Linked DNA regions of Drosophila melanogaster. The protein of the gene in region 1 purifies or fractionates together with the protein of each later gene. This does not show direct contact. Each region holds a gene or a part of one and is shown in the gene's direction. Other genes may lie near its edges.

Region 1 (5,485 bases):
TTTTACTTTGTTGTCAAATTTTCAGTGTATAATACTTCAGGTTTCAATGTCCGCTTATAGATTGAGTTGCATCGGGAACGCGGAATGGGGACCCCATACCTCCAATCGTTCCAGCTCACTATTCAACTCGGAGGCCATCGAACAGTTGCGCGATAAGTGGACCCACTTCTTTTTTAACCTGCCAAAGGCGCCTCTCGAATTGCAGCTGGCCAAAGCCCGAGCGAATCGTGCACTCGAGCTGGTCAGGAGCAAGGAGAAGGCTGCTTTGGAACGGACCGAATCCTCGCCAAGAAGTAAGTGCCGTCCACTCACTGCTCTGCACAACTCGCCGCGTACCACGAATCGAATGAAGCTGATCATGGAGACTCGCGTGCGTCCAGCGATCGTCAAAAAGTCAAAGTCGGAGTACAATCTATGTCCCAGTTGTGGGCTTGTCAAGGACTCGATTCTCAATCACCAGCACGCCGAGCAGCGACTGAAGAAGCTACTGGCACAGCATCCCAGTTTGCTGCCAAAACGACAGCATAGAAGGTCAAACTATTTGCGTATGCTATAACTAGATAAATTGCAATTTTTCTTCCAAGAATGCCAGCCATTTGTGTCGTCAAATATATTTAGTTGTGGGTAATAAGGAGGCAGAGTGTGACTATCTTTCCAGTAGCGTGCCGCGCTGCTTCTTCTGCGGCGGAGGTGCGTCCTCTGTCTTGGTTTTGATGCCCACATCGCTCAATTTTCCGCCTTTGCGCTGCAGTTGCTTCTCGATAATCCTTGCGTTGTTCGCATAGCTGTCTGCGATCTCGCGCTGTTTGAATGAACAAAAAAAATGGTTAGTTTGAAAGAGTTGTAGGTTTGTTCGTAGATGATGCAATGATAGATTGGATTTCCTGCACCATTTACAAACCAACTTTAGCTGACAAACTTACCGCCTCGATTTCATCCTCCTCCTCGTCGATGGTAGACACCGTGACCGAGCTGAACTTGCCCATGTTCTTCGTGTGTCTGGTGACGACGACCTTCTTGCCACTGGCATCCACAATACCCGAATCGTCTGGACCGGCGGAAGTCGCTGGCTTGGCAGCCGGTGCCTTGAAACTGCCCTTGATCTCCGAATTCAGCAGCTGTGTGAGAGGACTCTCACCCTTGTTGCGGATTAGGGCATTGGACATGACGAAGGTTACGTGGGAGTCGGGACTGTGGCGATAGTAAAGCGGCAGACTGCAGCTTCGGCACTGAAGGTTAAAGGAAAACATTAGGTGAACTAATGACGGGTAAGGAGTGGAAGTCAGCTACTCACCTTGTAGCGGTACTGCTTCTCGATCCCATTGCCCCTGCTCTTGCGTTTGATGTAGACCATCCTCGGTGTGGGATTGTGGGTGAGTTTGTTGGCATGGTCGTTGGCGTTTATCACACGGGCGTTGTCCACCTCTCGTAGCGGCAACTGTTCGAGGGTGCAATCTGTAGGATAGGCAAACATGATGTACTATGCTTTCAGTTAGTTGGCTCCAGTAATCTTACCCAGAATCAGAGCCATCTTGTTGCACAGACAGTAGTAAATGTTTAGCGGCTTTTCCTCGTTGTACTCCTCCTGATCCTTGGTATCGGAGCAGACGATACTGCGCGACACTACTTTGGGCATGGTTATTTGTGGGTTTCGGACTTATGAAACTTATAAAATTAAAGTAATTTCCTATTTCATTAAACACCGCAAGTAAATAAATAAACAGTGAGACCAGAGTGTGCAAGCAAAAGGTAAACAATGCAACACGCCAATCGATATTGCTATTCGATTACCGAACTTATCGGTTCGCACATTTGCGAATATAAACAAAAATGTGTGATAACAAAAAACCGACTGTTAAGGAAATTGCGGAACTTTGTTTAAAAAAATTCGAGTCCTTGCCAAAAACAGGAAAGCCCACAGCCAATCAATGGACAATTTTGGCGGGAATCGTGGAGTTCAACCGGAACACGGAAGCATGTCAACTAGTTTCGCTTGGATGCGGAACAAAGTGCATTGGAGAATCCAAACTTTGTCCCAATGGCCTCATCCTGAATGATTCCCATGCCGAGGTGCTGGCACGTCGTGGATTTCTTCGCTTTCTATACCAGGAGCTCAAGCAGGATAGAATCTTTCATTGGAACAGCACGCTAAGTACGTACGACATGGATGAGCACGTGGAGTTCCACTTTCTGAGCACACAAACGCCTTGTGGGGATGCCTGCATCCTTGAGGAAGAGCAACCAGCGGCGCGGGCCAAACGCCAGCGGCTGGATGAGGATTCCGAGATGGTCTATACGGGTGCCAAACTAATAAGTGACCTTAGCGATGATCCAATGTTGCAGACGCCAGGAGCTCTGCGAACGAAGCCCGGACGTGGAGAGCGCACTCTATCCATGTCCTGCAGTGATAAGATAGCGCGATGGAATGTCATAGGCGTGCAGGGGGCACTACTGGATGTATTGATCTCCAAACCCATCTACTTTAGCAGCCTGAACTTTTGCTGTGACGATGCGCAGCTGGAATCTTTGGAACGTGCCATCTTTAAACGTTTCGATTGTAGGACATTTAAGCACACGCGCTTCCAGCCTCAAAGGCCACAGATAAACATTGATCCTGGCATAAGATTTGAATTTTCCCAACGCTCCGACTGGCAGCCATCCCCCAATGGCCTGATTTGGTCCCAGGTCCCAGAAGAATTAAGGTAAGGGTCCTTTTAGCTAGACAGTTTCAGATCTAAACATATATTCCTAACACGCAGGCCCTATGAAATTTCCGTAAATGGAAAGCGTCAAGGAGTAACTAAGAAAAAGATGAAAACTTCACAAGCTGCACTGGCGATCAGCAAGTACAAGCTGTTCCTTACATTTCTAGAGTTGGTAAAGTTCAATCCGAAGCTAAGTGAAATGTTCGATCAACAGCTTTCCGATCCTGAGCGTATCGCCTATGCTTCCTGTAAAGACTTGGCCAGAGATTACCAGTTTGCCTGGCGGGAAATCAAAGAGAAATACTTTCTCCAATGGACCAAAAAACCACACGAGTTGCTAGACTTTAATCCAATGTCAAATAAATGACACTTCGTGCCAGTGAAACGAGGATAAGATGCAGACCAAGCAAGTATTTTATTGCTAAAGTTGGGATGAAGTGGAACTTCTGGTCTAAGCTCCTTCAATTGCTTTCTTGAAAATGTGTAGTTGCTGAAAATGTCCTTATCAGAGATGAAATAACTTCGGATTATAGCTTCCCTTTAAAGTAACTATTTCCACAGAATTGAAAGTCAGTTAGGTTATCATATGCAACATCTAAGCGTGTTATATTTAGTTTATAATACCATAATAACATAAATCTAATTGTCATTTTGCAAACGTTTAACAGACAAACAAACGAACAGGCGTACATGTACAATTAAGGTTACAGCTAAGCATCCACTGATGCGAATACGGATACGGATGCACATATAGGAGGTATGCTCTTGCTGGGCGTACGAACTAAAGACGAGAATTGAACAATGGAGATGTGCCGGTCCAGCTCGTGGCGTACGGATGTGATGTGTGGGTGCGAAAAGCTAATCATACGACACTCGAATCCGTTGACTATCCAAGGACTTAGTTGTCCAACATCCACCGACTTAGTGGCCCCCGATCTCGCGCAGCTCACGCTTGCCCAGCGGCAGCGGAGGACGGAAGTTGTTGATGACCTTGCCGTTGAACTCGTTGCAGGGGCACTCCTCCTTCACGTCGTAGGCATTGAGATTGCGCATGGCGTTCAGCTGGTCGTCGGACACTTCGATGGGCGTCTTGAACACGATCCAGATGACCGACTCCGAGCACGGTGGAGTGGTCAGGGAACCCTCATAGGTCCAATAGGTGTGCACATCGGGCAGCAGCTGGCCGGGATCACAGCCCTGGGGGAGGGTGACGCGATCGCCCTTGTGCAGCACGAACTGCAGCAGGCTGGTCACCTTGTCCAGTTCGGCATGGTGATTGCCAGCCTTAAGGAACACACCCAGCACGGCCAGGCCGTCGGGAGCGGCAGCCGCCTCGCCAAACGACTTGTACTTCGTGGTGTTCCAGTGAACCAAATGCAGCTCGCCGGAATAGGACACGCCGTCGACGGTGTGCTCCGATCCCTTGGAGTCCGTGCAGCCCCAGTGGCAGTGGAACTGCTCCAGCTTAAAGATCTGATCGCCCAGCGGTCCTCCAGTCAGCTCGGAGTCGGCGCCGTTCACATCCACGCGCCAGCAATAGCCTAGATTAACAAATGGTAAGGATTAATATTTCAGTAGAATACAGTACGTTAACTTTGAATTTCTTACCAGGATTGACCAGGCTTTTGGTGTGCTCCGGCACATACTTCCACTTGAGCGGAGCTACATTCAGTTCGCTGCCCTTCTTGGCGCTGGAGGGTGTGATATCCACGGGCGACTGACGATGTCCCGACGCCTGTGGGTACTCCTTGGCCCAGTGGGCAGGTCCTGAAATAGGAACATTGAATGGGGCGGGTAAGTAAACGTGCGGCAAAGTCATTAGGTATTTGCTTTCCCCGAATTTACCAACTTAACTAAGTGCTAATTCGCTGTGTCGATAAGGAACAATAAATCAACTAAAATCAATTCATTGGAGTACTCCATTGGGGTTTATTAAAAACTCATTAGGCTGGTCAGGAAATTGATTAATGTCCGAAAAAATAGAAGCTAATAAATGTGGAAGGAATTGAAGAATTTCGTTTAATCCATTAATTCGATAATTAGGGCGACTATTATATGGTACTAGTAATTTCAGAAGACAGCGAAAATCATTTCAAATTCATTTATTCCTACAATTTGCTGTTAAATTCAAATTATTTCTATTATAAAAACATGAAAGATTGTATATATTTCAACTAGAATCTGGACTTTGAAGCTAATAAATGGGAATAAAAATGAATCAAAGACTTAATATTTTTATGGCTGCTTATACTCGCGATTACCGAAGCATTAAGTAAGATGCTTATTTATGAACATGTCGCCAGAGTTGACAATCGTTTGCCCAACTGGCAGTCATAATAATATTTGCATAGACCTTTTATCTGACCAACCGGCTGAGGCAATACAAGTATTTGCTGTTCCCCTGTTTGCTGCATTTTGTTGCGATTTATGTGCGTGTATGTGGATTCTTCTTTTTAATTACTGGTGGCGCAAACATTGACACAGAGAACCGCGTCACGTGCCAGTAGAATCACTCGGAAGACCGCAGACCCGAGTCATGTGATAGGATCGCTGCAGATAAACCGCAAAAGTTTATGGGAATTGGAATCAGAATATGTATAATATATGATTGTTTGCCTGAATCGGAGCAAATATTGAACCATTTGCCGTTGGTAATGGTACCCAGAAATCGGCAGGGGTTTTCTTATCGAACGGGCAAAGCCTCGTTTGTCATTTGATAGATCGCCGAGCTTAAGGTGTCAACAGCTTTGTAGCTTCCTATATTTATTTCGCCGATTCTC
Region 2 (7,634 bases), on another chromosome or scaffold:
ATGTCTTTTTGTTTAAAAATTGGTTTCTACATATTTCATTTTCAAATTCAAACTGGCACATGTGCGTATGTGCATATGTGGAAACGCGACTAAACAATTATATTTAAGATGTTATCTTTAAGTTTTCTCGTTGAGAACGTTGTTTTAATAGGTGCTATACAAATTTGACACTAGATTATTGTCAGTGTACGATTTTCCTATTCGTGGACACCGTATATTGATTTCGGTCATGCTCTTGTACCGCAGTGAAGAAAACTTTTGCGACAGTATTAGGTATTTTATTTGGCGTTTTATTTGGGTGGACCTCAGTTAAAAATATTGGACCACTTTATTTCAGATATTCCAATTTAAACATAGAAATATGGTTACCTTGTGGTTTTTATTTGATCCTGATTTGTTTTCGTCAATAGTTTTGTGACTTAAGCAGCGAAACATTAAATTACAATTACAATATAAAAGTTACAAAATACGCGGTAAGTCGTACTCTGATTTTGATTTTGATTTTCTGCAAGTGGGTTGGTATATGTGTGTATTGAGTTCCCTGTAAGTCCAGGATCACAAGACGAGTCGAGCTGTCCCATATTCTTTTTTCCGTCTGCCCAATCAGTGACCTTTGAAACCTCGCGAACCTTAAGGGACTATGCCTGTATGCCTATGCAGCGCAGTTTGACACTGCTTAAATATTCGTAAAAGAATAAAAACCTCGATTAATATATAAATATATAGCAAATATATTTGCAAAATATGATAAACTGACCTATTAATCCCAACACAGATAGTTAATTTTCATAAGTTCGCTTGCATTCCTATTGATGTGGTTGAGGAAACGCAAAACTCTTGTGAACACAGTGTGAACACCTATTCTATTTTTCGTTTATCCAAAACTGTCATTCCCACACTTTTGAAAAATATTCATTTTTTTAAATAAAATTTTTGTCTTGCAACTTTCTATAGATATGCAAAAATAATGTCGAAAATTTTCCGTCGCACTCCCACTATCTAAGTAACAGGTATCTTACCTTACTTTGAGCATTAGTATTTTTTTAATATATGCATAATATGAAAAACACACCTATTAATCCCAATGTAGATAGTTAATTCAGTTGATTTGGTGTTCATTTTTACAAAGTCGCATACTTTCCTATTGCTGTAGTTGAGGAAACGCAAAACTTTTGTTAACACAGTGTGAAAACATTTCCTGTTTTTTGTTGACGTTATAGATTTTGCCCACGCTGCAGACAGGCAAATTGTGTTTGCAAGTCATGAAAAGTCATGCGCTTATGGTTCGAGTTCTATACTATTTTCTTAATACATTTGAATGTCAGTCAGTCAAACAAAAATGTAGGGAATTACCATGCACACAATTTAACAGCTATAATATTCTCGCGATATACAGAAGTACTGTTTCAATTCTAAATTTTCGCAATAACTTTTAAGCACTTCCAAAGAGCATCGTCGTGCTATTTTTAGCATGCTTTTAATTATTTCACAATAAAATCTTTGGTCTGCTCTTTTTTTTCCGCCGTCTTTCCATCACTTTGCTTATATTACTATGGCCAGTGTGAAATGTCTATAATATATTTAATACTAAAAACGATTTTCGAAATATGTGAAAAATATCGATATATTTACATATATTTTGACATCCCTACTTAAGTTTTTTACTTCAGTGCAGTACGATTCTTTCTGTGACCTGAGCAGTGAAAAATTAAATTACAAAAGCGAAAAAGCGAATTACAAAAGTGAAAAATTAAATTACAAAAAAAATCAAGATGAAGCGAAATCGTCGTGCATTTGCTGGAAACAACAAGCCATTTGTCTTTGGAGGCATTTACGTAAGAATCTTAATTTTTTTTGCAAGTGTGTGCAGGAGTGTGAGTTAAGAATTCCCTGTGACGTCACGAAGATATGTATTCCGAGTGAAAATGCATCACGAAAACAAAAACCATTGTTGGAATCATCCATATTTGATTTGTGAAATAACAAAGTTTTCGTTTTTATTTCTATAATTTGCAGCGCACAAAGTGAAAGTGTTCATTCACAATTCACCACAATTGTGAACTCATTTGCAATAGCCACTAAAAGCGGGTTAATCGAAAGTGCAGACCGTTGTCCGAATTCCACCAGCATTCACAATGCACCCCCCAGACATCCACCACCTTCCCCTCTCCCCTTACATTCGTAACCCACCCATTTGCATTGCACTCATTCCACTCCGTTCGTGCTTTCGATCAACTAGATATGGCCAGCACTGCTATAGTTTCACGCTGGACTTGCGGTTATCGCTAACTTTTATGGCTACTGAAAATGCATTCACCCGAAACTGTAACTAAAATTATTAGTTTTGGGTCAGATAGCAATGCCCATTCACTCCACCGAAAGTGCCCGAAACGAGCCGGCGACCATGAACTCAGCCGATGACCGAAGGATCCCCATAACTATTGTTTCATGCTAAAATAGACAGAATTGTGAAACGTATAGGTCGATAGTCAATTATTTTACTCTATTTTTGCATATCGGAGAAAATTCTATTAGAATTAGAATTAGATTTTCTCGAACCTCTCTGCAAACAGAATACATTAGCGAAAAGTTAACTCACCATGAGACTGAATTTATTTGTTAACCGGACTTTGCGGTTTTTATGCCCATTGAATTAAAGAGACATTGGTTACCCTAATAGTGCAGTACACCTGATTTTCATAGATTAGCATAGACTACCTGGTCCCGGAGTCCTCGGCTGGATCCGATAAACGGAGATCCACAGTCGCTGGGCAGTTGGCTCCGTTGGTGCAGAGCTTCGTTTCGGGGCACTTGGGTCGCAGGAATGGCCATGGCTAGTTCCGGAACTATGGTTTTAAGTAGACCAGCCGACCACCCTGACGGTTCCGGGTAACTTGACGACTTGATGGTTTCCGTTGGCCAGCGAGTCGCTTTTTTGTCGACCCACTGGACCAGTCCGCTGCAAGTGATTTTGTCTAGGGTAGCCTGGCGAGCCAGGCGGAACCCGTTGCCTTCGCTAACTAATCGACTAATGAAACTCTTTCGCAAACGCAGAATCCCAATGCCACCGTCAAGCCTTTGATCCAAATGCCGTTGCAGGCCGCCAATGTCCAGGAGCAGCAGTCTTCTCCGGTGGCTTTATATCCGACATCGGCCTCCCCGGTGGCTGTTCAATCGCCACAGGACGCATTTTTGGCTGTTCAGTCGCCAGGGGCTCCTGCCCCCGTTCAACTGGCCAACTCGTCCGACCAGCAGAATAATCCGGATGCGGACGCCATTGCCTCCAAACTGCCCATGCCAGTTATCATCAAGGAGGAGCCGATCTCTGTCAACGATGAACCGTCCGTCGACAATATAGAGGACAATACCAGTGCCAGTACCAGTGCCAGCGGCATCGGGGGCAAGATCCCATTTAAAAAAATCTTCCAAAAGCGCAAGAAGTCGTCTGGTAAGCGAGGAAACCTTTGGTGATCAGATTTCCCAGAATTTTCACACGCTCACACAAAGCACTAGGTTTCTTATGGAAGGGCAGACCGGAAATTACTTACAGTTGTGTTGCGAGTTTAAGATAAAAAATTCCTATGTTTTATAGTTTTATTGGTCCATTTTTTTTATAATATCATTAGGTATTTAATTTTGAACAATTCAAAACATGTTTCACATTTATTCCTTCAATAGTTTCAAAAGTGTAGATTAAAACAACATAATAGGCAGAAATTCTTTTTCTTTTTAATATGTTAATTACGGCATAACACTTGGTTGGATAGCCTTTGTTAGCTAGCACAGCCTTACACCCATGCGGCATGGTGTCCACTAGGTCCTGGCAACGCTTGGGGGGAATTTCGACCATGCATCCTGCACAACTTGTCAAATCTGAGCCTTAGGCGTCGGGCAGTTCTTCGACACATATTGTTTAATGTCCCCCCACAGGGTTTCAATCGAGTTTAAATCGGAAGATGGTGCTGTCCTCGGCATCTATTCTATTTTGGGTGAACCTAGCCGATTTGCTTCTACGTTTCGGATTATTATCCTTTTGGAATGACCATTTTAAGGGCATATTATATTAAGAATATGACAGTAAGACATCACTAAGAATATTTACATATGCGCTTTTGGTCTATAATACCAAAAATCATATTTTATGGACTCATACCATTGTAAAAAAAACTAGCCCATAGCGAAGTTTATCCTTGTCTGAATATGCCTTTGGCTAAGTAGGGGCACCTTTCGTGGGCTCTTCGCACTTAAATTTTGATTAAGTAGTCGTCTCCGAATTGCAACGTCACTGATTCCCAAGTTCAGCTCAGACTTCATGTCCCTAGAGTATGCAAAAGAATAGACTTTGTTTTAACGAACTATGCGTCGATCCTCTATATCTGTGGTTTTACGTTTGGTATGGTTTTTTGAATGTCCTTATATGTTTTTCCTTTCTTTTTTAGCTTAAGAATTAACATTCTTTTCTCCTGGGAGCAGTGCTGTCCTTTAGCCACTAAAATATATTTTTTTTTTATTTTTTTTTTTAATTTATTGCCCTTTTAAATATACGAATTAACTTAACCGAACTCACTTTTTAGAAAATATTGATAATTTCGGGACTTTACGTTGGTCAAAACCAGACACTGCTATTCTTATGAACAGCCTAAAAGTTGTGATTTTACTCAAGAATGAAAATGAAAAATAAAAAATAAAAAAGGATGGCATGTAAAGCTAAGGGAATTTTCTTTTTTTTTTATTCCTATCTACACATTCCATTTTACACTAACAAGTGGAACAAATAGTCGATTCCGAAAAGGGACATGGAAAAATTTGTATTACTTAGTTTCCCTCGCACTGCTATTTTTATGAACACAGCTGTACTTACAACTTCAAATTTCATTTTTATATATTCTTGTATATATGTCTATTAACTCTATCGTAGAACGCACTCGGGACAAGAAGTTGCGACAGAACCGCCAGCTGCGCAAGTCCATGCTCCCCAAGAACGCTCTGATGGCCCTCAACGAGGTGAAGGGCGTGACCATCAGCGATTTCACCATCGACAGCAATACCGACGGGGGATTCACGGCCGTTGTCACTGTCAACTCGAATCAGTACGAGGGCAAGGGTACCTCGAAAATGACAGCCAAGAACGCGGCCTGCGAGAAGGCTTGGCGCGATTTTATTATTGCAAAAATGACCCCCAAGCCGCCCCGTATTCACCAGGTGGAGATGGGTTCGGAGCCAATGGATATCAACGAGGATGAGGCCGATGCACCGGATGATGATCTGCCCATGTTGAATCTGGCCTCGTTTGCCATCTACAAGCTGTTCGCGGAGTGGGAACGGGAGGGCTATGTCGTGCCCGAGATGCACCCTTCGGCCAATGCTGCCCAACAGGCGGGAGGGGATGCCGGAACTCCAGTTCCCCCCGTGCCGAAGGAGCCAAAGAAGCCGCCAGTGCGCACCGAGCTACCCTCTGGCTGGGAGACCATGCACCCGGCGACCATTCTTTGCATTGTAGGCCAGCCCACCTTACTACCTTACTATGTACAGTGTCAGTAATCAATTCCTCTGCAGATGCGTCCGGGACTCAACTACGTGGACTACGGGTCATCTGGCGACAAGACCAACGGCATGCAGCATCTGGGAATCATGGTGGACAACCAGGAGTTCCACGCCAACGGCAGATCAAAGAAAATCGCCCGTCGCAACGTGGCCGTGAAAGTGTGCAACTCTCTGTTCGGCACCAACTTCACCTACAGCGACACCACTTAAGACACCAACTCCAACCGCAGACTCCAACTGCCGACGACAACACACATAACGGACACTCTTAACGGACAGCAATCAGAAGATTGCGACCCTGACGTCAATTGCGCAACTTTAAGCGACACCACTTAAGACACCAACTCCAACCGCAGACTCCAACTGCAGACGACAACACACCTATGCCTCTCTTAACGGACAGCAATCAGAAGATTGCGACCCTGACGTCAATGGCGCAACTTTAAGCGACACCACTTAAGACACCAACTCCAACCGCAGACTCCAACTGCAGACGACAACACACCTATGCCTCTCTTAACGGACAGCAATCGGAAGATTGCGACCCTGACGTCAATTGCGCAACTTTAAGCGACACCACTTAAGACACCAACTCCAACCGCAGACTCCAACTGCCGACGACAACACACCTATGCCTCTCTTAACGGACAGCAATCAGAAGATTGCGACCCTGACGTCAATGGCGCAACTTTAAGCGACACCACTTAAGACACCAACTCCAACCGCAGACTCCAACTGCCGACGACAACACACCTATGCCTCTCTTAACGGACAGCAATCGGAAGATTGCGACCCTGACGTCAATGGCGCAACTTTAAGCGACACCACTTAAGACACCAACTCCAACCGCAGACTCCAACTGCCGACGACAACACACCTATGCCTCTCTTAACGGACAGCAATCGGAAGATTGCGACCCTGACGTCAATGGCGCAACTTTAAGCGACACCACTTAAGACACCAACTCCAACCGCAGACTCCAACTGCCGACGACAACACACCTATGCCTCTCTTAACGGACAGCAATCAGAAGATTGCGACCCTGACGTCAATGGCGCAACTTTAAGAATTCCTTTTCTGTCAAAGTGAAGAGGCATATTAAACAAGAATTTCCCAATTTAGTTTGTATTTGGGACAGCTCTTACTTATGATTTTTTAGGTGGGCCGGAGCCGTTTTCAACAACGAATAATTTTGAACTGCAAGAGCCGATAAGATTATCCGAATAATCTAAACGCAGGATTCCTTGGTAATGCTGATTAATTTTTTCCGTGTATTTTGCGACACACTGTGGGTTTGGTTTTTTTGAAAACGCTTCCACAGAAGAGGATTTCAGTGGCAGATTGGGTATCAAATATTAATTATGCTTACCAGTGAATTACATTTTTGTCGTAAACTAGATTAAGCTAAATGGGTGGTATAATTACTTGATTTTTAAAAACATGAAGACATAAGTACATGTATTGAATATAAAATTGTAAAGTGCATTTTGATTTCTTGTGCTCATACTTGATGAGAGTGAGTATTTGTCCAATGTTGCCCAATGCTCTTGATTGAGACAGCTTTTAAATTATACATTTATTTTGAATAAAACGACATACACTGAAGTATTGTACCGCCGCGTTTCCCTGGGTGAAATCCGCGAAGTGGTTTCACAAACCCTGTACACTGCTGACATGCAACACCCGTCAACAACACCGATGAGTCGTCCCCTGCTCAGCTGATCCTGGCCACGTACCTACTGATGACACCATGCTTGCGTCGCCCTCATCCTTGCAATTCGCTTCCAATGCAGTTCAGGAATGGCTGCATGCAATCGATCGATGGACTTTCAAATGGAACATAACCATTAACTGCACTAAGTCGGCCTGTGTCACATTTACCCTGCGACCTCAAACCTGCCTAGGTCTTCTCTTCGACGGAAATACAATTGACTATGTCTCATCCGATTGCTACCTCGGAGTTCACCTTGATCGGACGCTGAGTTGGAAAGCCCATATCACGGCAGTTAGAGCCAAATCCTCTTGGAAACTGAAAAAACTGGACTGGCTTTTCCACTCAAGCAAACTCCATATGGCAACTAAGGTTCTCT

Evidence for each region.
Region 2: the proteins of Adat1 (region 1) and DIP1 purify together in Drosophila melanogaster (affinity purification with western blotting, with the first as the bait; one study listed by BioGRID). This does not show direct contact.

What each region holds. Positions count from the first base shown.
Region 1 is NT_033779.5:13,807,796-13,813,280, reverse strand, and holds Adat1 (adenosine deaminase, tRNA-specific 1), read left to right. Parts: upstream 1-1,806; 5' UTR 1,807-1,830; coding exon 1,831-2,702; intron 2,703-2,759; coding exon 2,760-3,072; 3' UTR 3,073-3,626; coding exon of another isoform or gene 3,627-4,246; 3' UTR 4,247-4,261; intron 4,262-4,313; coding exon of another isoform or gene 4,314-4,472; 3' UTR 4,473-4,921; downstream 4,922-5,485. Other genes in the region: CG16888 (uncharacterized protein), read left to right, coding at 47-556; CG16865 (uncharacterized protein), read right to left, coding at 647-802, 924-1,229, 1,295-1,455, 1,516-1,636; CAH1 (carbonic anhydrase 1), read right to left, coding at 3,627-4,246, 4,314-4,472. UniProt on the Drosophila melanogaster protein: Specifically deaminates adenosine-37 to inosine in tRNA-Ala.
Region 2 is NC_004354.4:21,624,175-21,631,808, reverse strand, and holds DIP1 (DISCO interacting protein 1), read left to right. Parts: upstream 1-1,660; 5' UTR 1,661-1,772; coding exon 1,773-1,835; exon of another isoform or gene 1,836-2,905; coding exon of another isoform or gene 2,906-2,965; exon of another isoform or gene 2,966-3,054; coding exon 3,055-3,448; intron 3,449-4,918; coding exon 4,919-5,496; intron 5,497-5,556; coding exon 5,557-5,754; 3' UTR 5,755-7,013; downstream 7,014-7,634.